Linked DNA regions of Sus scrofa. The main gene of each other region encodes a partner of the protein of the gene in region 5 in a complex. Links are inferred from orthologs where the notes say so. Each region holds a gene or a part of one and is shown on either strand. Other genes may lie near its edges. The genes, in order: DHX16, STRAP, SNRPF, GEMIN5, SNRPG, SART1 and CWC15.

The links.
Region 1: SNRPG (region 5) and DHX16 share a complex: the UniProt entries of both Homo sapiens proteins name them as parts of the minor spliceosome. The link is inferred for Sus scrofa from reciprocal best matches to the Homo sapiens genes SNRPG and DHX16.
Region 2: SNRPG (region 5) and STRAP share a complex: the UniProt entries of both Homo sapiens proteins name them as parts of the SMN-Sm complex. The link is inferred for Sus scrofa from reciprocal best matches to the Homo sapiens genes SNRPG and STRAP.
Region 3: SNRPG (region 5) and SNRPF share a complex: the UniProt entries of both Homo sapiens proteins name them as parts of the U7 snRNP complex. The link is inferred for Sus scrofa from reciprocal best matches to the Homo sapiens genes SNRPG and SNRPF.
Region 4: SNRPG (region 5) and GEMIN5 share a complex: the UniProt entries of both Homo sapiens proteins name them as parts of the SMN-Sm complex. The link is inferred for Sus scrofa from reciprocal best matches to the Homo sapiens genes SNRPG and GEMIN5.
Region 6: SNRPG (region 5) and SART1 share a complex: the UniProt entries of both Homo sapiens proteins name them as parts of the U4/U6-U5 tri-snRNP complex. The link is inferred for Sus scrofa from reciprocal best matches to the Homo sapiens genes SNRPG and SART1.
Region 7: SNRPG (region 5) and CWC15 share a complex: the UniProt entries of both Homo sapiens proteins name them as parts of the minor spliceosome. The link is inferred for Sus scrofa from reciprocal best matches to the Homo sapiens genes SNRPG and CWC15.

What each region holds. Positions count from the first base shown.
Region 1 is NC_010449.5:23,205,074-23,209,171, forward strand, and holds the start of DHX16 (putative pre-mRNA-splicing factor ATP-dependent RNA helicase DHX16), read right to left. Parts: upstream 2,801-4,098; coding exon 2,594-2,800; intron 863-2,593; coding exon 612-862; intron 280-611; coding exon 117-279; intron 1-116. UniProt on the Homo sapiens protein: Required for pre-mRNA splicing as a component of the spliceosome. Contributes to pre-mRNA splicing after spliceosome formation and prior to the first transesterification reaction.
Region 2 is NC_010447.5:56,734,090-56,738,178, reverse strand, and holds the start of STRAP (serine-threonine kinase receptor-associated protein), read left to right. Parts: upstream 1-1,289; 5' UTR 1,290-1,612; coding exon 1,613-1,724; intron 1,725-2,401; coding exon 2,402-2,537; intron 2,538-4,089. UniProt on the Homo sapiens protein: The SMN complex catalyzes the assembly of small nuclear ribonucleoproteins (snRNPs), the building blocks of the spliceosome, and thereby plays an important role in the splicing of cellular pre-mRNAs.
Region 3 is NC_010447.5:87,620,064-87,624,067, reverse strand, and holds the start of SNRPF (small nuclear ribonucleoprotein F), read left to right. Parts: upstream 1-1,204; 5' UTR 1,205-1,328; coding exon 1,329-1,331; intron 1,332-3,181; coding exon 3,182-3,307; intron 3,308-4,004. UniProt on the Homo sapiens protein: Plays a role in pre-mRNA splicing as a core component of the spliceosomal U1, U2, U4 and U5 small nuclear ribonucleoproteins (snRNPs), the building blocks of the spliceosome.
Region 4 is NC_010458.4:68,278,044-68,282,020, forward strand, and holds the start of GEMIN5 (gem-associated protein 5), read left to right. Parts: upstream 1-1,177; 5' UTR 1,178-1,262; coding exon 1,263-1,428; intron 1,429-2,221; coding exon 2,222-2,382; intron 2,383-3,086; coding exon 3,087-3,268; intron 3,269-3,977. UniProt on the Homo sapiens protein: The SMN complex catalyzes the assembly of small nuclear ribonucleoproteins (snRNPs), the building blocks of the spliceosome, and thereby plays an important role in the splicing of cellular pre-mRNAs.
Region 5 is NC_010445.4:72,197,557-72,201,521, forward strand, and holds the start of SNRPG (small nuclear ribonucleoprotein G), read left to right. Parts: upstream 1-1,165; 5' UTR 1,166-1,287; coding exon 1,288-1,319; intron 1,320-3,965. UniProt on the Homo sapiens protein: Plays a role in pre-mRNA splicing as a core component of the spliceosomal U1, U2, U4 and U5 small nuclear ribonucleoproteins (snRNPs), the building blocks of the spliceosome.
Region 6 is NC_010444.4:6,370,543-6,374,503, reverse strand, and holds the start of SART1 (U4/U6.U5 tri-snRNP-associated protein 1), read left to right. Parts: upstream 1-1,161; 5' UTR 1,162-1,258; coding exon 1,259-1,571; intron 1,572-3,630; coding exon 3,631-3,688; intron 3,689-3,961. UniProt on the Homo sapiens protein: Plays a role in mRNA splicing as a component of the U4/U6-U5 tri-snRNP, one of the building blocks of the spliceosome. May also bind to DNA.
Region 7 is NC_010451.4:27,044,481-27,048,480, forward strand, and holds the start of CWC15 (spliceosome-associated protein CWC15 homolog), read right to left. Parts: upstream 2,801-4,000; 5' UTR 2,657-2,800; intron 2,626-2,656; exon of another isoform or gene 2,378-2,625; intron 1,416-2,377; 5' UTR 1,408-1,415; coding exon 1,277-1,407; intron 683-1,276; coding exon 570-682; intron 1-569. UniProt on the Homo sapiens protein: Involved in pre-mRNA splicing as component of the spliceosome. Component of the PRP19-CDC5L complex that forms an integral part of the spliceosome and is required for activating pre-mRNA splicing.

The DNA.
Region 1 (4,098 bases), on a different chromosome or scaffold from region 5:
AGCCGGAAGACGCCACTGGAGGCAGCTCCTGTCTTCCGAAAGGTCACTTTCTGCAATCACACCAAACCTCAGACGCAACTTCCTGGGGATTTATGGAACGTGCTGCTCCTACAAACCTTCTTGTCTGAGCGCTCCAGGACGTTGCGAGTTCGATCCTTGTCCCGCTGCCTAACCCGCTCCGCAAACGCATCCCGTTCCTCCAGGTCCTGAAGGCGCTCTCGCTCTGTCCGCTCCCACTCATCCTCCGACTCTGGCTTCTCCGTCTGTGGTTTATTCCCCCTGCAACCCAGCCCAGAGGATTAGTTAAGGGCATCCCGAGGCCTGCTGTCGCATTATCCACCCGCCCCATCCTCTCACCCCCCACTTTTGGTCTTTTTAGGGCCACCGCACCCATGGCACATGGAAGTTACCAAGCTAAGGGTCCTACACCACGGCATGGCAACTCGGGATCCAAGCCACGTCTGTGACCTACACCACAGCTCACAGCAATGCCAGATCCTCAACCCGCTGATTGAGGCCAGAGATCGAACCCGTGTCTTCATGGATACTAGTCGGGTTGGTTACCACTGAACAAGAATAGGAACTCCTCTCTCACCCTACTTCTGACTTACCCTGTAGTCTTCTTTCCTTTCTCAGGAACTTCTTCCTCCTCTTCTTCCTCCTCTTCCTCCTGACGTTTCTTCCTGAGGTGTTTCCGTTTTTTCCGCTTCTTCTGGAGACTGCTCCCAGCCCTGCCTACAGCCTCCTCACTGCTCTCCTCACTGTCCTCCAGCAACCTGTAGGATCGGTTCTTTTCCAGCAAGGCTCGGGCCTCTCGCTCAGCTGCCCGAGCTGGCTTTTCTGCCACTGCCTTCCGTGGGACCTGTCAGAAGAGGAGAAGACAAGGGGGTGTGGGCAACTCCCGATCCCTGCCTACCTACTCAGCCCTGCTCCTAATTTAAGGAGTAATTTGTTTTTTGTTTTTTTTGGTCTTTTGAGGGCCGCACCTGAGGCATATGGAGGTTCCCAGGCTAGGGGTCCAATCAGAGCTACAGCTGCCGGCCTATACCACAGCCACAGCAACACGGGATCCGAGCCACGTCTATGATCCATACCACAGCTCATGAATCCTTAACCCACTGAGCGAGGTCAGGGTTCGAACCCGCATCCTTGTGGTTGCCAGTCAGAGTCGTTAACCACTGAGCCATGACGGGAACTCCAGGAGTAACTTGATCTTCAACTGGCCTTCATTCTCTCCCTTCCCCAAGACCTTGCACCAGGCCCACCTGCCTGAATGGGACCGCTCAGCTTCTAAACTTCTTTTCAGTAATTCATTTAACAAACATTCATTAAAGCCTGTCCTGTGCACCCACTGCTAGGCATTAGGGATACTGGGATACATTAAGAGAAAAATCCTTATCCTCATGGAGTTTACATTCTCAAACAGTTCTCAACTGTTCTGCCTCCCTTCTTTCCAATGACTAAGTCATTCCCATACAAGGGAGTTCCAGTTGTGGTCAGTGGTTAATGACTCTGACTGGCAACCATGAGGATGCGGGTTCGACCCTGGCCTCGCTCAGCGGGTTAAGGATATGGCGTTGCCTAGAGCTGTGGTGTAGGTTACAGACGTGGCTCAGATCCTGTGCTGCTGTGGCGTAGGCCAGCAGCTGTAGCTACAATTGGATCCCTAGCCTGGGAACCTCCATATGGTGCAGGTGCAGCCCTGAAAAGATGAAAGACAAAAAAAAAAAAAAAAAAAAATGTCATTCCAACACAAGGACTGACAAACTGACAAGGATTGTTTTGCAGAAGCCTGTCACGTGCCTGGCACTGTACCAGACTCCAAGGATACAGTGGTGAACAGATTAACAAAAAGCCCTGACCCTCACATCACAATGTTCTAATTTCATCTCTCACTAAGCACCTTGTAGGACGGATGCATCAGGTTATCTGCCATCCTGTAAACAAGCTCAATACTTTCATTCTTTTTTCTTTTTAGGGGCACACCTGTGGCATGTAAAGTTCCCAGCCGGGCTAGGGTCTAATGGGAGCTATTGCTGCCGGCCTGAACCACAGTCACAGAAAGGGAGGATCTGAGCCGGTGTCTGCTACCTACACAACCCACGGCAACACTGGATCCTTTAACCCACTGAGTGAGGCCAGAGATGGAACCTGTGTCCTATTAGTCGGGTTTGTTACCGCTGAGCCACGACAGGAACTCCCCACACATTTCTTCTATAACCGCACTACTCAAGGTGTGGTCTGTGGACCATCAGCATCACCTGGAAACTTGTTAGATTTCGAAATGAAGAAACGAAGAATCCTTTCCAGACCTACTGAATTAGAAGCAGCATTTTAACAAAAGCTCTAGAGGAATCCTACACCTGTTAAAAGTTTGAGAACACTGCTCTATACCGCTTAACCCAACGTACTTAAGCCGTCCTCAACCCGCAGGCGATAACGGACAAAGGATAAACGCCTGTTAACTGAGTTAACTTAATTCTCCAAACGCGCGTCCAGCCCAGCCTCACTGGGACAAACAACCTGGGGACCCCTTCCCTGCTCCACCCCCTCTCCTATTTCTCCCACGCCGGGGCCCCGCCCCTCTAGGCACCTTGTTCCAGAGTTTCAGGGCGAAGTCCCGGGCTGGCCCGCTGAGGTCCAGGGTATCAGTGTCTCGCAGGCGCTGCACAAACTCTTCCGCAGAGGCGCAGCGCTGTGCGGTACCGATCAGGAACTGGGCCACGTGCCGCTCGCTCAGCCCCAGCACCGAGTGCAGCTCGTCCTGCACCCAGCGCTCCAGCCCAGCCGGCGTCGCCATGGCGACCTATGCTCCTTATTCCTGGCCCTGAAAGTATCTCCAGCAGCCACGCTGGCGACCGGGCGGGTCGGAGGCCTGGAGCCCCGGGCTGGAACCTCTCCTCCCCAAAGAAGCTGCCTTAGCACTTCGGGGTTCGGTTGCTGACAGTCCAAAGCAATCTTCCCGGACCCCGGAGGCCGGAAGTGGTCCACTTTTCCGGCCTAAGCACTACGGTGGCTGAACGGGCCCAAATCTCGCGGAAGTGTACGGGATAAAAGTTTCATTTCCTCCCTTAGTTAATCTCTCTGCCTCCCCCACCACGTTGGTGATTTGTAGGTATTTCATTCAGCAAATGCTAAGATCCTAATATGCGTTAGGTACAGTTTCAGTCCCCGGGGATATAGCAAAAATCAATCCGAAACGAATCCCGTGATGAATTTACAGAGGCTGCGGGGGAGGGGGAAATTTACATGTAAATTAAACATGTAGGAGTTCCCGTGGTGGCGCAGTGGTTAACGAATCCGACTAGGAACCATGAGGTTGCGGGTTCGGTCCCTGCCCTTGCTCAGTGGGTTAACGATCCGGCGTTGCCGTGAGCTGTGGTGTAGGTTGCAGACGCGGCTCGGATCCCGTGTTGTTGTGGCTCTGACGTAGGCCGGTGGCTACAGCTCCAATTCGACCCCTAGCCTGGGAACCTCCATATGCCGCGGGAGCGGCCCAAGAAATAGCAAAAAGACAAAAAAATAAAAAAATAAAATAAACATGTAAATTCTATGAAACCAAAAATAACGCAAGGTTTGTGAGTGTGTGTTTGCGGGAGGGCGGTGAAGTCCATTTCAAATTAGAAGATCGGTCCACTTATTACAGATTCGCCCGTGCTGATTAGGAGTGACCTTTGCTAGGACTGATACTTTCTGCAGAAATGAATATAGGTTAAGCATAAGGCAGGACTCTAGGTAGGAAGAAATTTGGGATCTGAAGGAAAAAACTCAGTGCCTTCTCAGAAAGTTATTTTAGAAGATCTCCAAACTAATGCACAAAATGTATTTTGCTTTTTTTTTCTTTCCTGACAGCTTGAGAGATTGATCAGTGGCTACTTAATTTTTTTTGGCCACGCCCAAGGCATTTGGAAGTTCCCTGTGCCTGGATCTAACCTGCTGCACAGCAGTACAAGGCCAGATCCTCACCCGCTCGAATCAGGGAACTCCACCGTCTGCTTAACTTCATTTTTCATCGATTTTTAGGTCCATACTCGCGGCATATGGAGGTTCCCAGGCTAGGGGTCAATCGGAGCCACAGCTGCCGGCCTGCACCACATC
Region 2 (4,089 bases), on a different chromosome or scaffold from region 5:
ACAGTGCCACACAATTGCCACTAAGGAGCTCACAATTTAAATGTCAACAGAGTGTGTGTGTGCATGTGTGTAGGAACTTGGGGTGAGGTTGGCACAGAGAAAACAAAAAAGATAGTGGAAAACATATATAGTAAGTGCTGTACTATAAATTAATGAACAAAATGCTAATGAAATAGAATGGGGAAGCACTTCAAGTCTCCATTCAAGTAATTAGACTTGAACGAAGATACATGTTTACTACAAAAAGATGAGGGAGAGGGAAACATTTGCAGACATTTGTGCTGATTAGATATGTATTGGTATGTGCCAAGACATTATGGCCTGGGATAAAGTAGTGAAAGAGACCACAAAAAAAATCTCTGGTATTTTCTGTTGACATCCTAACAAGCATTAAAGGAAAGAAATAACTTGCCCAGAAAAAGGACCCTTCTTGCTCAGGTCAGTTTTTGCATGAGCAATCAATCCATCAACAGTTCTGCTACACCACGGAGTGATATCCAAAGAGGAGAGCCTGCAGGAAGACAACACCAGTATTTCTATTTACACTGAAGTTTAAGGTTCTTCTAATATTTCTATTCTTCTCTATGCACTAATATGCAAATAACTCACAAATTATTCACTATCGCATATTTGGGGGACGGACGCAAGTTTTATTGATGTGGGTATTCATCAAAAAATTTGAGGACCATTGCTCATGGGTCTCCCAACGTCCTCAAAAGATAAACTAATTTAACTGTTTTTAGAGTCGCATAACCCTCACGTCTGAAACACTAACAATGCAAGGTTACACAGCACAAGGGGTGACTGGGAGAAAGACTTTTCTTAAGGGCCTTACTTGTAGACAATCCCAGAGGAGCTGACTATACAACTGCTAACAAAGATTGGAAAAAAAATTCTTAGACGGTGTTTGCTGGTTTGGGCCACCGCTGGAAACAATTCTGGTTGTTCAGTGTAGACGTCTAGATAGCACAGTCCAAACCACTGGACGGCTCAGTGCGTAAACCACAGATGCGGTCAGATTCGGGGTATGACTGAAGCAGGACCCGCTTCCGCACGCCCCCAACTCGACTCCAAACGGCTCAAAAACAGAAAAGCACCCCAAGCTGCTTAGAGCTCAGCGCTAGGATTTTCACCCAGTGCCTGGAACGCGGCCAAGAGCCCTGCGTAGCCAGCGTGGAGCCAGCATCACGTGCTCAACCTGAGCTGATCTCGCGCCTGCGCATTGCGGTCGCTCTCGCTCCAGTACGCCTCTTCTACCCAGCGAACCCGCCTTCCCTCCTGTTCGTCACTTCCGGCGGAGGGTTAGTGTCGTCACTTCCTGCGAGTACCGGTGTGGACGGTGGGGATCGTGGCTGCCGGTTTTCCTGTTCTCCCCCTCCCCTACTCTCCTCCCTCCCTCCCTTTCCCTCCCTCGGCGGCGGTCGACCGCCAGTCGCACACTCCCTGACCCACCCCTAACCCTTTCCTGGTTTCGGGGCCACCAGATTGGCCTTTTTCTGTTTCCCGGCCCAGCGTCAGGGCGTAGGCCTTGAGTGAGAGGCGCTGCCGCGGAGAAGAGAAAAGACGAGACGACCCTCAGCTCTCCTGCGGGATCGCTCGGCTCGCCGCCGCCATGGCAATGAGGCAAACGCCTCTCACTTGCTCCGGCCACACGCGGCCTGTGGTGGATTTGGCCTTCAGTGGCATCACGCCTTATGGCTATTTCTTAATCAGTGCTTGCAAAGGTGAGCAGGGCCGCTGGGCTCAGATGGTTGGGACTGGGCGGAAAGGGAGTGGGGCCGGCACTTCCCATTGCCGAATGGATTGCGGCTTTTGAGATTAGTGGGCTGGTAGGGCGAGTAGTGTTAAGGATTGCGCAGCTGATGCCAGGAGAAGCTTTGGTAAGTTATGCCCCCAACCAAGGCTTCTCATTTTACCTTTTTTGCTATTTCTGGATAAGCTTTACTGTGCACTTGCCCAGACGCCCCGGCCAACACCGTAAATATCTTTAAAGGATTTGGGGAATGCAGAAACTAGGCCAGGCTAAGTAACACTTTATTTTACAAAGACTTTCCACTTCTACTATTTCATTGGATATTCTTCTGTGGTATGGAATTTTTCATTTCCAATTTTCAAGTGGAAGCTGAGACTATTAAGTTTGTCCAAAATAAGGTTCACGTCTAGATTGTTTTGTTGCAGATGAATAGTCTTTCTGCCGCATTTCAAGTCCTTCCCAGAGAGAATGGCCCAGTTCTTCAGTTAATTTATTTCTGGATGTGCCTTAGTGACCCCAGTGAGTGAACAGTTAGACAACAAAAGCAGTTTTCAAGTTTGTTATTCATCACTGTTTGTTTTAAGTTCGGATCCTAGATTTTAAGTAATTTGAGCTTCTACATCACATGTTTTCTTACATATTTTTTAGATGGCAAACCTATGCTACGCCAGGGAGATACAGGAGACTGGATTGGAACGTTTTTGGGTCATAAGGGTGCTGTTTGGGGTGCAACATTGAATAAGGATGCCACCAAAGCAGCTACAGCAGCTGCAGATTTCACAGCGTAAGTGTAGCCAGAAATGGCCACCTTTACAGTTCTCTGTGAATTGTGTTCTGAAATGATCAATAATAAAAGTTCAGTAAAAGTTATTCATAAAGTTCTCATGCACTGCCTAACGTAGAGAACACATGTTGTTTTGATGTCACCAAAATTCCGCCCATATTTTATCTGCTGCTTTCTCAAAATGTTCAGAGACTTAAATGACTTAGTTCTGTATGTCTGGACTGGGACCCAGGAATCTGCATTATTAACAAGCACTTCAGATAATGAATGTTGATGGTCATGCTGGCAAATACTGCTCCACATGTTCTAGCTGAATAATACCTTATACTCCTTAACTTCTTAGTGCTTGATGCCCCACATTTTTAGCCCAGTTTCACTCTCATTTTTGTTAGACATATTTAAGATTCCCAAACTCAGTTATTTTTCATTTTCTAAGTTTCTAAATCATTCTTGATTTTTCTCTTCCATCTAGATTATCATATTTGTTGATTCTGCCAATAGAATGTTTCCTGACCACATTGTTTCTTGTACCTCTGCCACTACCTTAATGGTTTAGGTTCCTAAACTGGTCCTTTCCCATCTCTTCATCAGCCAGTTGTCTTCCTGGAGACAAATAACATAACACTTCTTTACCTAAAGATCTTTGCTTCTGCTTTGTCAGTGGCCCATGACCTTGGGTGTACATTACAGTAACCTGGGAAGCTTTTAAAGTACTCAGATGCATGTGTCTGAGAAGCTCTGGCTTAATTGGTCTGGAGTTGGAGTTCCCAACCTAGGTTTTTTTGTTTTTTAGTTTTTTTTCTTCCCTAAAGTTTTTCTGGATGATTCTGATGTACAACCTTAACCACTAGCCTAAAGGTTAAATTTCATTGTTAGCTCTTTAAAATTTGGCCTAATCCTAGTTCTTGGGCATCATCTGGCACTACACATCATATGCCCCATCATTTGGCTATACTAAATCTAACTGTTGCCAGAATATGCCTTACCTACTCTGATTTTTTTTGCTTTTGTATATGATATTAAAGTGACTTGCGATGACCCACTTTCCCTATCTGGGCATGGGTCACAGCTTATGTAATCTTGGTACCTCTAGTTCCTGATTGTGACTTAGTAAACAATAAAGTGTTTAAGGCAGGCAAGTCAAGGGCTGTTGTACGTGGAATACTCCTTATTAGATTTGAAAGTCTGGAGAGTAAAATTGTCTTGTTGATTTTTTTTTTAATAGAATTTCACATTAAGAAGCGATTCTAAATGTGTTTCTCCTTTGTTGTAAGCAAATTAAACATACCAAGTTTATTATAAAAAATGAAGGCAGATTGATTGAGATAGTGGATACCTGACTGTGCATTTGTTGAAACTCTAGACCTCTGTACCACAGAGTGAGTTTTACTATATGTAAGTTTTTAAAAAATAAATTTAAGTTTTAAGGAGTTCCTGCTGTGGCACAGTTGGGTTAAGAATCCAACTGCAGGGCTCAGGTTGCCGCAGAGGTAGGGTTTGGTCCCAGGTCCCTGACAGTGGGTTAAAGGATCTCACGTTACCGCTGCTGGCT
Region 3 (4,004 bases), on a different chromosome or scaffold from region 5:
CTCCACAATACCGCAACATTTAAATCTCAATTTTTTCTTCTTTCTTCTTATTTGTCTTTTTGTCTTTTCAAGGGCCGCTGCCGTAGCATATGGAGGTTCCCAGGCTAGGGGTCTAATCCGAGCTATTGCTACCGGCCTACACCACAGCCACAGCAATGTAGGATCGCAGCCGGATTGTGACCTACACCACAGCTCACGGCAACGCCGGACCCTTAACCTCCTTAACCCGCTGAGCAAGGCCAGGGATAGAACCCGCAACCTCATGGTTCCTAGTCGGATTTGTTAACCACTGAGCCACGACGGGAACTCCATAAATTTCAATTTCAAATTCAACTCCTTAGGGCTGCAAAAACAAAAAACAAAAAAGAAAAAAAAATTTTTTTAAAAGAATGTATATATGTGTATGATTGTGTCATTTTGCTGTACAACAGAAACTGGCACAATGTTGTAATTCAGCTATACTGAATTTATATGCAATTTATTTATAATATATATTACATGTATATAAATTTATATCCAAAATGTTTTAGATATATATATATTTGAAAAAAATAAATCCAGTATGAGGACTGTAGTGGGCCTCTGCTCGCAAAGCACAAGAAACAGGTGGACCGGGAGGCCACCACACCGTATTTTAGTCTCTGTCTGACCTCATCTGAAAAATATTCTGCAGTTGACTTTCTTCCGGTGCGTTTCACCTCCTTAAGTCTATCTAGTCTTGCTTCTTCCACTTCCTCTGAGATGGGGTGAAATGAGCACTACAGAATAGAGAGCCATCAGGTAGAACGGGACTGTGGCAGAGGAGTCCCCATGGCTCAGGATCTGTGGGAAAATGAAGAAGAAACTTGAGAGCCCCGAGCTCGTTTTCCCAGGTGTGCAAAGCCAAAGGAAACTCCACCAGCCAAGTTGGCGAGAAATCACGTCCATTCTGCAGGACAGACAGCAAACCCTCGAGGCAGGCGAGCAAACAGGCAACTCGAGCCACCTCTCTGCCTTTGCAGTGCCGCAGGTATCAGACCCATGCTGCTGAAGGTTTCCTATTTCCTGCCCCCGCCGGGAAGGCGCTCGGAAACTCGAGCCTGCTGGTTGCCAGGAGACAGGCCCCAGTCACTTCCGCCAATCAGCACGCATCTTTTTGCATCCAATCACAGAAGCCGGAAGAGCCGTAGTCGGAGGGGAAAGGTCACGCTGCTATTTGGCGGCCATTTCTCTGGAAGCTTGGTGGCTGGGAAGTTGCTGTAGCCAACTCCAGTCCACGAGGGCCGGACGGCGCTGAGTCGGCGGCGGGTAGTCTGCAGCATCTGCCCACTACAGCAGCAGTAGTCGCGATGGTAAGGAGAAAGAGAAGGTCAGAGTCGCCCGTGTGGGGGAGAGAGAGAGAGAGAGAGGGCGGGAGGGCGGGTGACCAGCTTCGCCGGGCCTTCGCGCGTTTCCCATTCATCCGCGTGAGGCCCCGCGCAGCCTGTGGCCAGCCCCTTTCTGCCAGTTCTGGGTGTCTGACGCACGCCCTCCTTCCCCTCCCTAGGAATGTCCCCTTCCCCCTCTTCTTCGTTTGAATCTGAGCCTGAGCTGCTCTTGCTGCCTGGGACCACAGAGTTGGAGTAAAGATGAAGCGGTTTTTCACGTACAGCTTACAGCACTCCAAAATCCGCTTTTGTCTGGTGATGCTGGGAAGCCCTGCAGCCCTTTGGAATACTGAGCCCGAGCTTTGAGCATTCATTTGTTCTCTTAGCAAATTTTTACTGAGCTCCTGCTACCTGTCAGGTGTGTTCTAGGAACTAGGACTATAGGGCGAGAAGTACTGGTGTGGCCCCTGCTCCAGTTTAAGTCGGTGTGAGAGAGAGAGAGACATTGATCAAATAACGACAAATACATAATTTCAAATAAAGTTAGTGCTAAGGAGGAAGCACACAGGATGCTATGAGGGGGTACCATGCTACGTTAGAAGTGTTTAAGGATGGCATCTTTGGGAGAAGGGATTTAACCTGAAACTTAAACGATATGAAATACACACCCTTAAAGAGGCGGAAGAGTGTATACACCAAGCTCAGGAAACATGAGCATAGACTCTGAGCCTCGAAAGAAAGCCTGACCAGTTGGAGGAATTGAGAGAAAGCCACAGCTGCTTGCTAGGATGGAGTGTTGGGCAAGTATTAGGCAGTTTTAGGAGGTCTGAGTTCTACTCCCGGGTCTACTTTGGAAAGCCATCAAAACATTTTAGGTAGAGATATGATGTGATAAAAAATACTTGCCGTGTGGCTAATAAATTGGAGAAAGAAAAGAGTGAAGACCATAGAACTATTTGAGATCACTCTGAGTATGCTTATCCTAGAGGGGTTTAGTAGCCAAGTTTCTTGGTTCTTTTCTCTCTTTGGGTGGATGGGCCAACAGATGAAGGAAGGGGGAAAAGTCTGAATTCGTTGGAGATACTGTTGCATTTGCTGAATAAACAAACATTAAGTGATTGATTGCCTATATGTAGGAGTCACTGCTAAGTCAAATAAGATCCAGGCCTACCTTTTCATAGTGAGAGACTCAATTATGATCTGCCCCTGCCTCTTCAGTAACTTCATACAAAACTAACTTTTATGTCCCTGAGATCACCTTGCCGAGTCATTCTTCCCTCCTTTTGCATAGGTAGCCTCCTCTGCCTAGAATAGCCTCTTTCCCTCTGGAAATATCTGTCATCCTTTAAAACAGGCATTTACTTACTTCAGGCAACTCTTCCATTTCTCTTAACACTGGATTGTTTGGTATCATGTAATAGCATTCTCCTCTTACTACATTACAAAGTAATTGCCCACTCGTGTATGTTTTGACCCTTCCCTCCCACTGTAGGTCTCTTAAGGACAGGGACTGTCATCTGCCTTTTTTTTTTTTTTTCTTTTTTTTCTATTGCCTTTTCCTTGGTTTCATTATATTTTTGGAACAGTGAGTGAATGTTTCTTAAGTGAACATTGAATAAGTCTTGATGGGGTTGATGAAATTGACTGGCTGGATATTTCTTTGAAGTTCTTCCACAAATAAAAGTGAAAATTATGTAATAACGTGAGATGGAGTCAAGAGTTTGCTTCATTTGGATACCACAGCATATTGGTAATTTGGCAGAAAAGAGTAGGTAATAGAAACCAAGCTAAAGAAACTTATTCAGTTGGGTTCTTTTTTTGTTTTTGTTTTGCAGAGTTTGCCTCTCAATCCCAAACCTTTCCTCAATGGGTTAACAGGGAAGCCAGTGATGGTGAAACTTAAGTGGGGAATGGAGTACAAAGGCTACCTGGTGTCTGTAGATGGCTATATGAATATGCAGGTAAGTGGAAGAGTTATGAAGATCATTAGATTGTATTTATTTTTCTTCATGTGACTTCTCAAAGGTTTGGTGTGACTTACAGGGATATAATTAATTGACAAACAAAGCAAAATTAAGGGGTCAAATCAAGGCTAAGGAGGATGTTATAATTTGATGAACTTTGTATGAGACATATTAAAAATTCAGCCACAGGAGTTCCCCGTCGTGGCGCAGTGGTTAACGGGCCCGACTAGAAACCATGAGGTTGCGGGTTCGGTCCCTGCCCTTGCTCAGTGGGTTAAGGATCGGGCGTTGCCGTGAGCTGTGGTGTAGGTTGCAGACGCGGCTCAGATCCCGCGTTGCTGTGGCTCTGGCGTAGGCCGGTGGCTGTGGCTCCGATTCAACCCCTAGCCTGGGAACCTCCATATGCCGCGGGAGCGGCCCAAGAAATAGCAACAACAACAACAACAACAAAAAGACAAAAGACAAAAAAAAAAAAAAAATTCAGCCACAGATTTGATTCCCAGGTGGTTAAAAGTAAGAAGAGCTCAGGCGTTTGATTCACAATGTCATAAGAAAAATATACTGATTTGTGGGGAAAGCAAAACATCCCAGCACTTGGTCCGAGAGAACCTTTTCCAGTGAAATTCGTGTCTTTTGATAAATGCTAAATGTACAAATCTAAGTAATTTGATAGAAGCAGTTCTTAAGAGAGAAG
Region 4 (3,977 bases), on a different chromosome or scaffold from region 5:
TGTACAGCACAGGAAATATAGCCAATATTTTATAATACTTTTGAATGGAATCATTACAAATTGTGAATCGTTGTACACCTGAAATTAATATAATATTGAAAATATTTGATAAATAAATGAAAACAAGAGTTCCCGTCAGGGCGCAGCGTAAAGGAATCTGGTTTGTTCCCTGGCCTCGCTCAGTAGGTTAAGGATCCGGCGTTGCTGTGGCTATGGCCTAGGCCAGTGACTACAGCTCCGATTCAACCCCTATCCTGGGAACCTCCATATGCCGCGGGTGTGACCCTAAAAAGCAAAAATAATAATAGTAGTAAAATAAATAATTGAAAATAAAGAACAAGCAGTTCAAATACAAAGTATGATGCTCCAGGTTCACCTCCAAGAGCTAAGAGTTAATAATCGTCAGGCACTTGCTGCCAAATATGGCCAGTAGGCATTTGACTAAATCTCATGTATTCCCCACAGCAATCCAACAAGGCCTGGATTATCATCTTCCTTCTTCAAATGAGAAACAGGTTTAGGATAGGTTAAAGTCTCAGACAACTGGAAAAAAGAGGTCAATCTAGGGTTGGATGCCTCCAAAGTTATGGTCGTACCCACATCCAAATATATTTGACCTCCCTTTATTTGCAGAGATATCTCAAATTTTATTTGCTGGGTATGCCGGAGTTCAAGATACCCAATGCAAACATGCAATAGGGAGTAGAAGAGTGTAAGTACAGAATCTGAGCATTTTAGGATGTTTGAGCTGGAAGGGAACTTCCGTTCTTTTTCCTCCACAGCACTTAACATATAGTCCCTTCACAGAGTTGACGGGTAATCAGATCAAAAGAGTCACTATTCTGCTTTTACTTGAGTATCAAAAACCCAGAGACAGAATTTTCACCCAGTTGCGGAAACCCTTTAAAAAAAATATTTGATGGGATAGGGGTTGAATAGGTCCAGGGAAAAAAGCGTTCTAACCTCTTAATTGCTGTGAGAAGTGAAAAATGCCTAACCCCTGGGCTGGGCTCCAGCCGCCCTAGACGCTCCAGCCGCAGGCGAGGTTCCGCGGCGGAGCGCCGCGCTCTGGACCCCGCCCTTCCCAGCCCAGCGACACCAGTAGCCGAGCCAGCGGTGCGGCCTGGACCTCCGCGCGCGCCGTAGCGGCGGGCCCGAAGGGGCGGGGCTCCGAGTCAACCCCGCCCCTTCCTGGCTACAGCGTGGGGCTACGAAAGGTCTGCGCAAGTAGTTGCTTCCCTCATCCCTGGGTGGCAGTGATCATGGCTCAGGAACCGCGCACGCTGCCGCCCTCCCCTAACTGGTACTGCTCCCGATGCAGCGATGCCGTGCCCGGGGGCCTCTTCGGCTTCGCGGCACGGACCTCCGTCTTCCTTGTCCGCGTGGGCCCAGGCGCGGACGCGATACCAGGGACGCCCCCATTTCGAGGTAATTCCCCACCTCTTGGCCCCAGCCCTCTTGCCCTTCCTGAGTTCCCTGCAGGCTCCGAGTGGGCATTTCTAGCCACCCCCATCTCTTTAGATGAGGAAACTGAGGCTCGGGAAGGAGAAGGGTCTCCTTACGGCCAACTAAGCTGACTCGCGTCCCAGTCTACAAGGCTGAGCTATACACCACGCTGTGGCCGAGCGGTCCCGCCTCCTGGCGCTCTCACGTGGATCCTCTGCTTACTGAAAAGTTAACCCTGTCTCTTTTCAGATATTTAGAACATCTAGGCCTTCCTCCCCAACCCAGTGCGTGCGGGCCCCCTGAGAGCTCCTTGGGGTTGAGGGCTGCCTAATAGCTGCACGCCTTAAGGGAGATCTTGCAAATTTATGATACTAATTTCTGTAAGATGAAGGACTTGAGCCGGATGCTTTCAGGCTCCAACCCAGGTTTTGCTTATGCCTTAGGATATGGGATGCCAGATATTTATTCTGTTCCAAACGATGTCTGGCTAGATCTAGATAAGAATCTCTTTTACTTGCTTCCACTGAGCTGCTCCTCAGTCTGAGAACTGGGCATATCAAGGGATATGAACAGCATTTTATAGATTTGAGAAGACTGAGGCCCAAGGAGATAAAAAAGACATGTCTAAACCCAGGTAAAGGCAGTACCAGCACTTGGGGTCTCTAATTGTGAGTTCTTCCATGGGCTAAGTGAAGTCTCAATCACCACTTAACAGTAAGATTCTGCCAAGGAAGCTTAGGTAGCACTTTAACCTGGAATCTGATTTTGCTTGAAGTCATAGGGGAGTTGGTGGGACACACCGAAAGGGTCTCTGGCTTCACATTTTGTCATCACCTGGGTCAATACAACCTCTGTGCCACCAGCTCTGACGATGGGACTGTGAAAATCTGGGATGTAGAGACAAAAACAGTTGTGACCGAACATGCACTCCATCAGGTACCGTGGCTTACTAGTTTCTCAGGCCATTATTATATATCTGCCAGAGTTCTCTTGCTTCAAGTATAGTTTTGCTAGCTTATCTGTGCAAGTAATTGTTTTCGTTCATTAGATAAGCTCTATATGGTAAGATACTTAAAAACTTTTCTGGAAGGAGGTGAATATAAATAAGAGGTCAGCAAACTGCACTGCTGCCTCCTTTTCCAAACTGTTTTACTGGAATATAATCACAGTTGTTCATTTAAGTACCTTCTACAATTTTAAGTATTGGCTGCTTGCATGCGACAATGGCAGAGTTAAGTACTTGCAACAGAGACAGTACGGCCCACACAGTCTAAAATATTTACTCTCTGGTTCTTTACGTGAAAATGACTCCCAATATAAACTATAAGTGAATGAAACTTGTTTCCAAACTAGGTGATTAATTGTATATCTGCTTTTTGAGAGAATGTAGGAAAGGAAAGAACTCCTTTTTAGTAAGAACTTTGCATTAATCTATAAAAGGAAAAAAAAAAATGTAAATGGTCCTTTGATCCCCAGTAGCCTAAATTCTCCTATCATTTGGTTATGATGTAGTCTTGCTATACAAGTGGAACTCACAGTATATATTAAGTACCTGTCATGTGCCTAGCATTGTACAGGTTAAAAACTAAAAATTTAGCATTGACAAATAAGAAGCAAATAATTTTTGTTTTGTTTTAAAGCATACAATATCAGCATTGCATTGGTCTCCTCGAGTAAAGGATTTAATAGTATCTGGAGATGAAAAGGGAGTAGTTTTCTGTTACTGGCTTAACAGAAATGACAGCCAGCACCTGTTTATAGAACCCAGGACAATTTTCTGTCTTACTTGCTCACCTCATCATGAAGATTTAGTAGCCATTGGGTAAGTACTGTGCTGCCATCTGTGTGGATGGTTTAGTTTTGTTGATGATCTTATTTCACATTGCTTTACCTTCTCCTGTCCCTTCATTCCTTAGAGGAAACCATCTACAGGTAGTCACTCTCCCTAGGTCCCTGGTATCCCTCTAGGTCCTCAGTCTCTCTCATTCTATTTTTGTTTCCTTGGTTTCCATGATACTGTACTTCCCTCATTCTCCATAACCCATTTCTTCAGTCAGCCTCCAAATGTCAGAAATGTCCTCTTTCACCTTTTTTTCCCTCCATGTTTACCCTTGGACATAAAATAACATTTACCTCCAGAGTGTCAAATGACTAAGCTCTGGCATTGGGATCTGTTTCCCCAGTGACCAGCAGAGTTGTTTACACAGCTGCCTGAGTGGGCACTCCCCGTTCCCTCACCACTCCATTTACTTCTCTCCCAAAGCTGTCCTTTCTCTAGTTTGAAGACTAGTCATGAGCACTAGAATGTAGGAGAGAAAGTCCAGCTGCAGTGAATTCAAGAGACTGGGAGGTGAGGTGGATATGCATGGAGACAACTTTTTCACAAAGTTTTTTGTGAAAATGTGCATAGACATGAAGCCAGAGGAGTTATATGGAGGTCAGGGCAGTGTTATATGGAGGTCAGGGCAGTGTTATATGGAAGATAATAAAGGCATGGTTTTTATGCTGATGGAAATGAGGCAGAAAAGGGG
Region 5 (3,965 bases):
TTTTTTTTTTGTCTTTTTGCTATTTCTTTGGGCCGCTCCCGCGGCATATGGAGGTTCCCAGGCTAGGGGTCGAATCGGAGCTGTTGCCACCGGCCTACGCCAGAGCCACAGCAACGCGGGATCCGAGCCATGTCTGCAACCTACACCACAGCTCACGGCAACGCCGGATCGTTAACCCACTGAGCAGGGGCAGGGACCGAACCCGCAACCTCACGGTTCCTAGTCGGATTCGTTAACCACTGCGCCACGACGGGAACTCCTCTAGATTAAAATTTTTGGAAACTGAGGCCCCCTCACTCTATTCCTTTGGTGCAGAGGTCGTTAACTGAGCTGTTACTAGAACCTTAGTTGTAGCATGACATCCTGTGGGAATACTAAAATACCACAGGTTCAACAGTGAAGCAAATACCTCAAAGCAAGTCACAAGATTTTTTTTTTCTTAGTGTGATTACCTATCATAGATCACCATAACGAATACAGTAATGAAAAAATTTGAAATACTGTAAGAATTATCAAAATGACACAGACACAAAGTGAACAAATGCTCTTGGGAAAATGGCGCTGGGAGATTTGCTGGACTCTGGGCTGCCTCAAACCTTCAATTTGCTAAATTAAAAAAAAAAAAAAAACGAGTTCCCGATGTGGCTCAGGGAGTTAAGAACCGGACTAGTATCCATGAGGATACTAGTTTGATTCCTGGCCTCGCTCAGTAGGTTAAGAATCCAGCGTTGCTTTGTCTATGGCAAAAGCCAGCAGCTGCAGCGCAGATTTGACCCACAGCCTGGGAACTTCCATATGCGGAGGGTTCGGTCCTAAAAAGACCAAAAAAAAAAAAACCGCAGTGTTTGCAGAGGACAACAAAGGGAAGAACAACACATGGAAGTATGCACACACATGCCAAAGAAATTTTTAGGAGCCTACCCCTCCAGAGCTTATTTTCATCTGGTAGCGTCAAGACAACTTTGCAACCCACAAAGACAATGAGTTAACCAGCGTCCTTCAAATGCTAGAGGCAGGAACAGCAACCCAATTACAAAGAGGAATATAAAGACTGGAGGCCCCACCCCTCCGCTCTAGCCAATCCCTGGCGACACAACGGAAGCTTGGGACTGATCTGCGAGCTCAGGATTTTCCTAAGTATCGCGACGTGAAACGTGAAAGCGGCCAACAATCAATTGGCTAACGGGATCAGTGACGTCAGACGCAAAGCACCGGGCCTACCGCTGGAGCGTGAGGGAGAACACGAATTCCGTTTGGAGGTTTCTTTGAGTTCGCGGAGTAGGCATCATGAGCAAAGCTCACCCGCCGGAGTTGAAGAAGTAAGTATGCATGAGGGCCGCGCATAAATGGCGGCTTCTTTGTAGGCCTTGAGTTCCTTGGATCCCCAGCCATTTCCGGAGAGTGTGTCTGCCGTGCTTATTGCCACTGGCTGCCGCCGCGATCCGGGCCACCGTCCCACGTTTCCGGGCCTGCATCCCGCGCAAATGTTGTATTTCGGCCTGGTGGGCATGCTTTTCAAAGACGTAAAGGCCCCTCCGTCTGCAGGTTTGCCTCCCAGGCCGGAGTTCCTGGCCGGGTCTCTGGCACTCGATCCTTCGTTACTTAAAGATCTTGAATACCACAGTTAGCTGAACGCCTTGAGTAGCATCACGTTCGAGATAAGGTGGTTGGACAGTAATTCTGTAAGGAACTAAGGAGGTGGATGGAATGGAATTGTTTTGATGGTATATGAGAAATTCAAAAGCTGCCTTCATCTTAGTGTGTTGGTGGTTCCTTTGAGCTTTAACTTAGAAATCCCGTTCTTGGGAGTTCCCGTCGTGGCGCAGTGGTTAACGAATCCGATTAGAAACCATGAGGTGGCGGGTTCGGTCCCTGCCCTTGCTCAGTGGGTTAAGGATCCGGCGTTGCCGTGAGCTGTGGTGTAGGTTGCAGACTCGGCTCGGATCCCGCGTTTCTGTGGCTCTGGTGTAGGCCAGTGGCTACAGCTCCGATTCAGCCCCTAGCCTGGGAACCTCCATATGCCGCGGGAGCGGCCCAAAGAAATAGCAAAAAGACAAAAAAAAAAAAAGAAATCCCGTTCTTTTTTCTTAATTTCTTGCACTTAGGTTGAACTTGAATGTGTGATATTTTGCTCTGTTAACTGGAATGCGTGAGAACATTCATTTTTCTCTAATTAGAGAAGGCTCTTTTGTTGGGGGGGTGTTCTTGGTAAGATTTCCTTTTTGATTCTTAAGATATTAATGAGAGTTTTTAATTACCTTTCTTTTCTTATATGTAGATTTCAATAATTGTGAGATCCTGCCAGGTCTACCTCCAAAATGACTTTTAACTTTTTCTTCCTTACCATCTTTTTTTGGAGTTCCCTCGTGGCTCAGCCGGTTAAGGATCCAACATGGCACTGCTGTGGTTCAAGTTCAGTCCCTAGCCCAGGAACTTCCGCATGCCACCCACGAGGCCCGAAATCTTTTTTTTTTTTTGCATTTTTATATCTTCCGTCTGCTTTTAATATAATTCTGTGGTTCTTAACTGTGGTGTAGAGAGTCTGGTTCTACCAGCATTTAGTAGGTAGAGGCCAGGGTTCCTGCTAAATATTCTACAGTGCACTGGACATCACTCAACAACAGAATTATCTGGTCCCAGATGTCAGTATGCCAAGGTTGAGATACCCTGGCCCAATCATATTCTTCCTACCCCTCTTAAAAATCATTGCCAAAGTAGTCTTTTTTTTCCCCCAGTTTTTTTGAGATAAAATTGACCTACAGCACTACGTAAGTTCAAGATGTACAGCGTAATGGATTGATTTACACATGCTTCAGTAATCTTAGCCATGCCTGATACTGCTGCAGTAACTTATTGCCATCTGCATAATAAAGTCCAGACTTCTTGAACCAGCAGTAACGCTCCTCCATTTGAAATCCAAGCACCAAATATTACACACGCTAATATTTGAGTACCATGTTCTTGGGCCAAACTGAACCATTTGATTTTGCTCAAACTTTTTCACTGCTGAGTGACTTTGGAAATTTTACTTAACCTTTCTGGGCCTTGGTTCCCCATCTGTTAATTGGTGGTAATAACAATGCATAACTTAAAAAGCTTTCATAAGGATTAAATAAAATAAGTTCATATGTGTTATATTTGTGTTTTTTTATAACATCCTAGTAAAATTGATTGTTTTACATGTCATACTATATATTTTTATTTGTAAAAACCTGTCTTCTTACACCTTCTTCAGGCCTCATGTCTTATTTATCTTTGAATTCTCCATGATATACATTAAAATTGAATGAAGTTTCATATTTTCTAGCCTACAGCAAAGAGGTAAAAACTGGTTTGACTTGTTGGCTTCATATTCTTTTTGTCTTTAGGGCTGCACGCACGGCATATGGAGGTTCACAGGTGGGGGGTCGAATGGGAGCTGTAGCTGTAGCCCCTGGCCTAAACCACAGCCACACCAGATCGGAGCTGTGTCTGTGAGCTACACCACAACTCATGGCAATGCCAGATCCTTAACCACTGAGTGAGGTCAGGGTCCAACCTGCATCCTCATGGATACTCGTTAGATTCACTTCTGCTGAGCCATGACGGGAACGCCCTTGGCTTCATATTCTCATACTACCCTGCTGATATGGAATTTTGTTGCTTAATTCAAATTATTTAAAATTTCAATATGCATTTATTTTGCTAAAGTATACTTGGGTGTTGGAGAATATCCTGAACATTTAAGATTGTTGCTTAATATTAAATAAAACACTATGTATTGTCTCAAATATAAAATAAAATATCCATTGGATTGGATATGGTTTGATTACCTTCTGATTTCTTCACAACTTTGTTTGGTTTTTAAAATAACCAAAATATAACAAAATCTTTGTTTTTCTGTTTTGGTCGTAAGATTCTGTCATTGAATATTGGGTCGGGGAGTTCCTATAGTGGCTCAGTGGGTTTAGACCCTGACTAGCATC
Region 6 (3,961 bases), on a different chromosome or scaffold from region 5:
CCCCCTCCCTGTGCACAGCTCTGCCTCTGCTCCTGAGGTGTGAGCATGGCATCTCCAAGAGCAACAGCGGCAACTTGCCCTAGAAATGCTGGGTCCTAGAAAGTCAAGAGTGAATAGGACAGAATGGCTTCTGCCTTTGGGAACTCCCAGTTCTGGGGGGGAGGAAAGCGGAACTTTAAAGGGGAGCATAATCACAGACAGATGGGCCTCCAGATGGGGCAACTGGGAGGTGAGGGGTGTCAGGAGGGATGGAGAGATTGTGTGAACAGAGTTTTTGTTGTTGTTGTTTATTTGGCTGTGCCTGTGGCATGCGAGAGTTCCTGGGTCAGGAATTGAACCCAAGCCACAGGAGTGACCCAAGTCGCTCCAGTGACAGTCCCGGATCTTTAGATCTTTAACTCGCTGCGCCATAGGAGAATTCCTGTGTAAACTGAGATTTTAGCTTCAAGCAACTTCAAGTTAGAGCTCCTCTCAAGAGGGAAAAAAAAAAAGCAGCAGCAGCTCCCGCGAGCGCGCTCTCTCTCTCTCTCTCTCACACACACACACACACACACACACACACACACACACACACACACACACCCCGATGTGCTAAATTTTGCGTTCGATTTCAGGGGTTCACAGGCATGCAAAGGCCCATCTCGAGCTCCGTAGCAGTCAAAGCGCACGTTAAAAAAACCCAATTCAGGGACCGTGGGAAGGCAGCGTTTGCAGACAATATTAGTTGTGGGGGCTGGGAGGAGGCTGGGTTGTGGAGCTGAGGGTCTCAGGAGCAGAACGTGCTCCGTCCTCCTACACCTGATCGGCCACGACCCCAGGGAGTCTACTAGGAGGACTTCTGCTGGAGCGGCGGGCGCTGCAGTGAGCATCCCGTGGCTGAGGGTGTGCAAGCGGAGGGAAGCCAGGGAGGCCATGCTGGCTTAGATGGGCCCTAGGTCCTTCAAATTCTGGGATACGGTCTTCCCCGGACTCGAACGCGCCCCTCAAGCTTGAGCGCACGCGCAATCCGACCACTATGTCAAAGACCGCCGCTCGGCCAGTGCCGGCCGCGAATGCGCAGTCGGGCCCGATCCCAGCCTTCCCATGAGCCTTTGGGGCAGCTCCGAGGCAAAGGACGGAAGCAGCCGCTCTTGGTTTCCGGCAACGCGACGGCGCAGCCGGGCCCGACCCGGAAGTGTTCCCATTTTGCGCCGTCGGGGCTCGGCGGCGGCGGTGGCGGCGGCGGCGGCGGCGGCGGGGCTCGGGTGGACCTACCACCATGGGGTCGTCAAAGAAGCACCGCGGGGAGAAGGAGGCGGCCGGGACTACGGCAGGAGCGAGCACCGGGAGCGCCACCGAGCAGCCGCCTCGGCACCGGGAGCACAAAAAACACAAGCACCGGAGCAGCGGCGGCGGCAGCAGCGGTGGCGAACGACGAAAGCGGAGCCGGGAGCGTGGGAGCGAGCGCGGGAGCGGGCGGCGCGGGGCCGAAGCGGAGGCCCGCAGCAGCACGCACGGGCGGGAGCGTAGCCAGACAGAGCCCTCCGAGCGCCGCGTGAAGCGGGAGAAGCGAGATGAAGGCTACGAGGCCGGTGAGGGGCGGGGCCTGGGCAGGGGGCGGGGCGATGGGGAGGGTCTCAGGGTGGAGGGCCTCGGGGATGGAAGCCAAGCCCACAGGCCCAGCCATCCCCAGGCCCGTCGTCAGCGCATTTGGAAGGGTCTTGTTTTGATTATTTGGGATTAAGGGTTGGCTTTCTCTGCTAAACTCCGTGAAGGTGGAGATTTTCTCTGTTTTCCTTAACTGACACATCACAGGCACTCGCTAAATGTGTCGAGTGAACGCATGGAGTGGTACCATCGTGTGTAGAGGCAGGAGGACACCTGGTATTGGGCAGGTTATGTAGAGCTCATAGCAGAGACATGAGGCAGGGGTCCGAACACAGAGGCTCCTGCAAGCCTGTTAAGATAATTGAATTTTGTTGGCGTTCCCGTCCTGGCGCAGCGGAAACGAATCCGACTAGGAACCATGAGGTTGTGGGTTCGACCCCTGGCCTGGCTCAGTGGGTTAAGGATCCTGCACTGTCTTGAGCTGTGGTGTAGGTCACAGGTGCAACTCGGATCTGGCGTGGCTGTGGCGGTGGTGTAGGCCGGCAGCTGTAGCTCCAATTCGACCCTTAGCCTGGGAACCTCCATATGCCAGGGTGTGGCCCTGAGAAAACAAAAAACAAAAAATTTTGAACTTTGTTTCAAAAGTAATAGGGAGCCATGAATTCGAGCTGGGGAGCGAGTTAGTCGTATTCACGTTATCACAGAGAACACTGTGTTGAGAACTGGGTAAAGAGCAGTCAAGACCCATAGAGGAGGTAAGGACTGGCCATGGCTGGCACCAGGGCAGCAGCAGCGGGATGGAGAGTCGTTGACCCATTGGAGAGGTGTTTTGGAGGAGGAGGTGACAGAGCTTAAGCACTTGGATGACAGTGGGAAGGAGAAGAAGGAATTGAGGATGGTCCTTGGATTTTGGCTGGTGTGACCAGGTGGGTGGTAGTGTTGTCGACGGAAGTTGAGTTTGGAAGAGAAGCAGATTTTTTGGAGAGAGACAGTGAATTCAGTTTTGAGGAGTGTTGCATGAGGCACATGGGGAAACTCAGGGCTTGGGCAGGACAGAGCAGTTTGAGAGTCATAAGGGTTCAATGGCAAATGAAGTCCCTTGAGAGAGTGAGGATTGAGAAGCCAGGGTCGGGGGCAGAACCTCAGGAATGTCTACGTTTTAGTAGCAGGCGGAGCAAGATGGTACAAAAAAGGAGGTTGGATGTTCCCCAAAGCAAGAATACCATAGCATCTCATGTCATGGGATCTGTGGGCGTGATCAGTGGTGTCACACACCACAGGAGATGAGGCAAAACCAGAGTGGCAGAGAATCCATCGGATTTACAGACAAGGAGGCTGGCGACCTTGGAGCGAGCACGGAGGTGCTTGGGAGTCAGGGTCCAGGTGGGGTGGGAGGGAAAGACGTAGGTTGCGAGGTGGCCATGCTGGAGGGAGGAGCTCCAGCCGATGGCGTCCAGCTTCTGTGTGTGGCATTCTGTGTGTGACATTTGCTGTTTATGAGGTGGGTGAAAGAGCTCAGAAGCGCTGCTTTATTTCCTGTAGCATCCTCACAGCACAGGCGCCAGTAAGTGTATTTTTTGACTGTGTGAATTACACAGAGAGAACACAGATATGCTGCCAACATGGGCCCTGCCCTGTGAGCAAAAACAGACCTGGAGATGGCCGTGACCGTGCTGTGGAGTGCAGGGGAGAGGAGTTGGTGCTGATCAGGAATCAGGACTCCGGCCTCTGATTGTTGCGTTTGGATAGCATCTTGCTAATCAGAGTGAGGCCAGAGAGGGCCGTGTAGGTTGTAACAACAGAATACACAGAGGTGGAGAGGTGGCAGAGTGAAGGATGTGGCAGGTTGGACCTTTTGGATCAGAAGGTGTGTCGACAGCCTGGGAGTCAGGTAGGAGGAGCCCCTGGGATGGAGGAAGGCTGCTGTTCCCTGATGTCTCGGGGCAGATGGGGGACCCTCACCTTCAGCCCTGCGGCTGGAGCCAAGGAAGTGGCTTCTGGGCCCCGTGTTCAGCTCCTGAGCCTCTCTCTCTCTTGTTCCAGCTGCCAGCTCCAAGACTAGCTCGGGCGATGCCTCGTCACTCAGCATCGAGGAGACCAAGTGAGTACTGTCACCTTTATGCTACTGTGTCTTCTTCTGAGACGGGCAGCTTTGGGGGCAGCAGGTGGGTGAAGCTTTCTCATCGTAGAGCCTTCTGCTTGGGATTTGGAAGTGCCATAGAAACCATCTTAGCCAACGATTTGCATTACAGAAGTGGACACTCAGACCCAAGAGGAAGGATGGCATTTTCCTGGGTAGGGGCAGGCCAGGCCTTCCGCCTAATGCAGAGGCCAGTGCTCTTCTGAGCGCTGGGTCAGGCCCTCGGTTTGGGAC
Region 7 (4,000 bases), on a different chromosome or scaffold from region 5:
AGCGATCGAATTGGAACTACAGCTGCTGGCCTACACCACAGCCACAGCAATGGGAATCTGAGCCACACAGGGGATCTGAGCCACATCTGCGACCTACACAGGATCCTTAACCTACTCAGCAAGGCTAGGGATGAACCAGCATCCTCATGACACTGGGTTTTGAACCAGCCGAGCCACAATAGTTAACTCCATGGAGAATTTCATAGACAGAAACAATGGGGCCTCAAAAAGTCTGGCTGTGAAAATACCTTAATCCGAACTGAAACAATGGTTGCTAAATATTCCCAGATCACCTAGTTCTTTCCATATAGAAACATAAAAAGATGGAACTGGAATCAAATTCATTACCATCTCTAATCTAATCTAATCTAATCCAATCTAATCTATCCTAACCTAATCTGATCCAGTCTTTTAAGAAACTTAAAGTTCACACCAATATTTAAAAGCAAGCAAACAAAAACAGTAATCCATTCTAATTACCACGTGAAAGAAAAATTACTGTCAACACAATGTCATGAGAGACGTGTCCAGGGTGTAGGGTAGTCTAGGGGTCTAGGGAGTGTTGGTACCTCGGGTCGGCCTATCTCTATTTTTTTCTCTTGCAGCAGCTCTCTCTCTCTCTTCCAACTCTCTCCTGAAGTCGCGGTTCCGAACCTCTTCGGGGGCATCCTGAGTGGTCTGTCTAAAGCAGAAACAAACCAGGGCAAAAATACTTCTTAAAAACACACGGCTGTAGTCATAGAAGACAGCTTGTGAAAAGCAACTTTGTCCTGAGTTCCTGAAACATAAAGTCCCATTAGGGAAACTGGACAAGATCACTATCCTAATCTGAGGGTTACTAAGAGGCTCCTGTGATGTCTCTGATATTTCAAGAACCTCAAGCTAAATCACATACTTTCCCATAATAAGGGTGCAGGTTGATTAAAATGTCCTTACTTTTTGTAACTATGTCAACTCAGGGCTCTGTTACAATAATACTCTTAATCTCATATTGATTAGTGCTGATAGTGCACGTCCCTCTGAGATAATGTATCAGCTATTGCTCCATCTACTTATGGAAATTCCCAGTTAATTGCAATTTCTGCTTAAGGAATATCTTGTAGCATTTTACAATCATAGCGCATGATTTTAGTGTTATAAACACTAATGCATTCTACTCCTATGAAAATAGATTACTAAGTGATAATAACGTAAACACTATTATCTTATGACCATACCATTTAACAGATTTGGTCTTCCTTTGTGAAACAAAAAAAAAAATAAAAGGCTTCATTACCTATATTTTATCTTCGTATGAGAGGGTAGGTCTCTACTTGAATATTGCTTGGAGAGTTGGCTCAAATCACCTTCTCCTTTTCCTCTCCCACCTCTTGCAGGTTCAAAAGTTGGCCTAGCTGCCGTCGTCATTTTTTATGCTTTGAAGAAAAAGTGCCAAGTTACTTTCAACATAACAAACTATCATTTTATAAAGTATTAATCAATATCCATCCTTGGGAAAAAATTTCCCTAACTTATTCCCCAAAACTTATTTAAAATGATCTCAAAAGTTCTCATGAAAACAAACAGTGAAGCTCAGGGTGTAGCGGGAATATGCAGATATTTAGTACAAAAAGTTCTGTCATGAAGATCTGAGACTGTGTTCCTGTTCTCCTTCTGGCTCTGTGGCCTTGGACAAGCCAACTAGCTTAAGTTTCCGTCATCTGTAAAATGGGGACTATTCCTCATGGGATTATCATGAAATTAAGAGACTTGACATGTCAAAGCCCTTGCAAAAATACAGTACTGCCGTGTCTCAGTTTTTAAAAAAATCTCAACTCAACCTTACTCCACCAGACTCCTTAAGGTTCCCATTTTATCTAAACCTCACACTGCAGAAAAGAGGCTAGCAGCTACAAAAACAGAGAAGATATCTAAAAAAACAAATCATTGACAGATACTGAAGGTCCTGAAGAAGTGTGCTCAACTTCGACGACAGTTACATTGGCAAAGCTCCCCAACAATCTTTTGTTGTTTCAATTTTATCCTACAGCAGCCAATATAATATAAATCATAACTTTTGCAAGTTACAATTTAAGGGATGCTCAAAACACAGGAACCCACCCCCACGGGACTCTGGTAACTACAAATCAGGGACTCCTTCCTTATGTTACTTCTGCTTTTAAGCAACTAAAAAACACTGCACAGCCGATGTGGCTACTAAAACCTCCCTCAAGCGTCGGAAAAGCAAGTGTCTGGGGCAGCTGGCATACTTCTCTAGATTTTCAAAAAAGGGAGAGGAATATATCCAGTGGGGGTGAAACTGGGTTCCGGGCCGCTGGGGGCGCCGCCGCCTCCCACACACCATCGTTATTTACACTCTGGGTTCTGGGGAGTTCACCTTCGGGTTGTCATCGGAAAGCCCGGCGATTCTTCACCCGTGCCAGATTTGGCGAGGGGCTGGGGGCGCCCAGACCCGCTTAACGCAGCCTGTAGAGCTACCTTCACGCTACGCTCTCCGCGGCCGGCCCGGGACTGGCCGTCCCCAGTCCAACAGGCGCTGGGCTCCGCAACCCGCTGCCGCTCCGGAAAACTCCTCTGCCTGCAGTCGGTTCTCCGCGTCCGCCCCCAACTGTCCTCCCCCCCCCCCCCCCCAGTCTGCTTTCCCCCAGCAGCTCACGTTGGCCGAGGTCCGAACGCACCAGCCTCCGGAGATCATTCAGAAACCACTTAGATTCTCGGCTCCCAGAAACCCCTGCGCCCAGGGCCAAAGCCCAAGACCCGGAAGCAAACCCTAACCTCTTCAGGGGCGGAGGCAGGGACCAATCGGCAGAGGCCAAGGGAGAAGTCGGCGTGACGACAGCAAGAGGCGGGGCTTAAACAGCCCAGGGGGCGGGCGTTTGAAATCGGTGCTTTGAGTAGACCCTAAACATCATTTTATACCTTCGAGAACCAATTACTTAATGTCTCTCCCGTCTTTTCCTTTCCCGACCCCCTCCCAGACGCCTTCATTCCGGTACTGCGTGGACGGAAAGCCCCGGGTAGCCGACACCACGTCCCCGGCTACCGAGAGAGAAGGAGAGAGAGCGTAGAAAAGGATTATACCAAACGGTTTAAATCCAACGGCTCCTGCTTGCTTAATCTTTGAGCTAGACCCAGCAAGCCTAGAGAGTTGGGCTACGGAAAGACTAGTATTTTCTTTTAATTGGATATGAAGAAAGAACAAATATGTACGGGGGCAACCACGATCTTTATAAAGGTACCATTCCTGCAAAAAATGTTAGTCTTCAAAGCAAAGGTTGTATTCGTATTGACTGTTAAAATTGTAATTTTTTTTAAAGCCTAAGTTCTAGCGGGAGGGGAGATGTCACTATTAGAGATTCATTCATTAACCGACATTGAACGTTTAGAACGGTGGGCCCAACTGCCAGGAGCCCTAGATGCAATTATAAGATGGCTACTCATGCGTTAGGTGAAGTTTTAATAAGGCAACGAACAGGAAAGGGAAAAAAATCACCAATTGTCCTTCTTACACCTCCAAAAGCACTGTGGGAGCAGGGATCTTGTTTGGTCAGTTTAACGTGGTTATCGTGATATCTAATCACATAGTCTTTGGCTCAATAGATACTTAAACAAATGAAAATCCAACTCCCTTAGCTTAGTTTCAAATGTAAAGAGCTCATTAAAATTGAACATAAAAAAGCTTTTTCCCCCCCTCAGAATTCTTTCTTTGAACTCTAAAATGAACAAAACAAAAGGGTAGAAAAACTCCCTTCCCTGTAAATTTCAAGATGCAAGTCTTGATTTTTCTAGGAAGGTATTACTCCCCCAGTCTTAGACATCTCAGTAAAGGACACTACCTACCATCATACTAGTTACTTGAACCCAAATCCCAGGGTTTCCTCTTAGATTCCTTTTCCTTCACTTGTCTCATCCAACTTATTTGCAAGTCTTACCAATTCTACTTTCAAAATATACCCTAAATTTCATTCCCACTGCTACTACCCTAGTCCAAGCCACCATC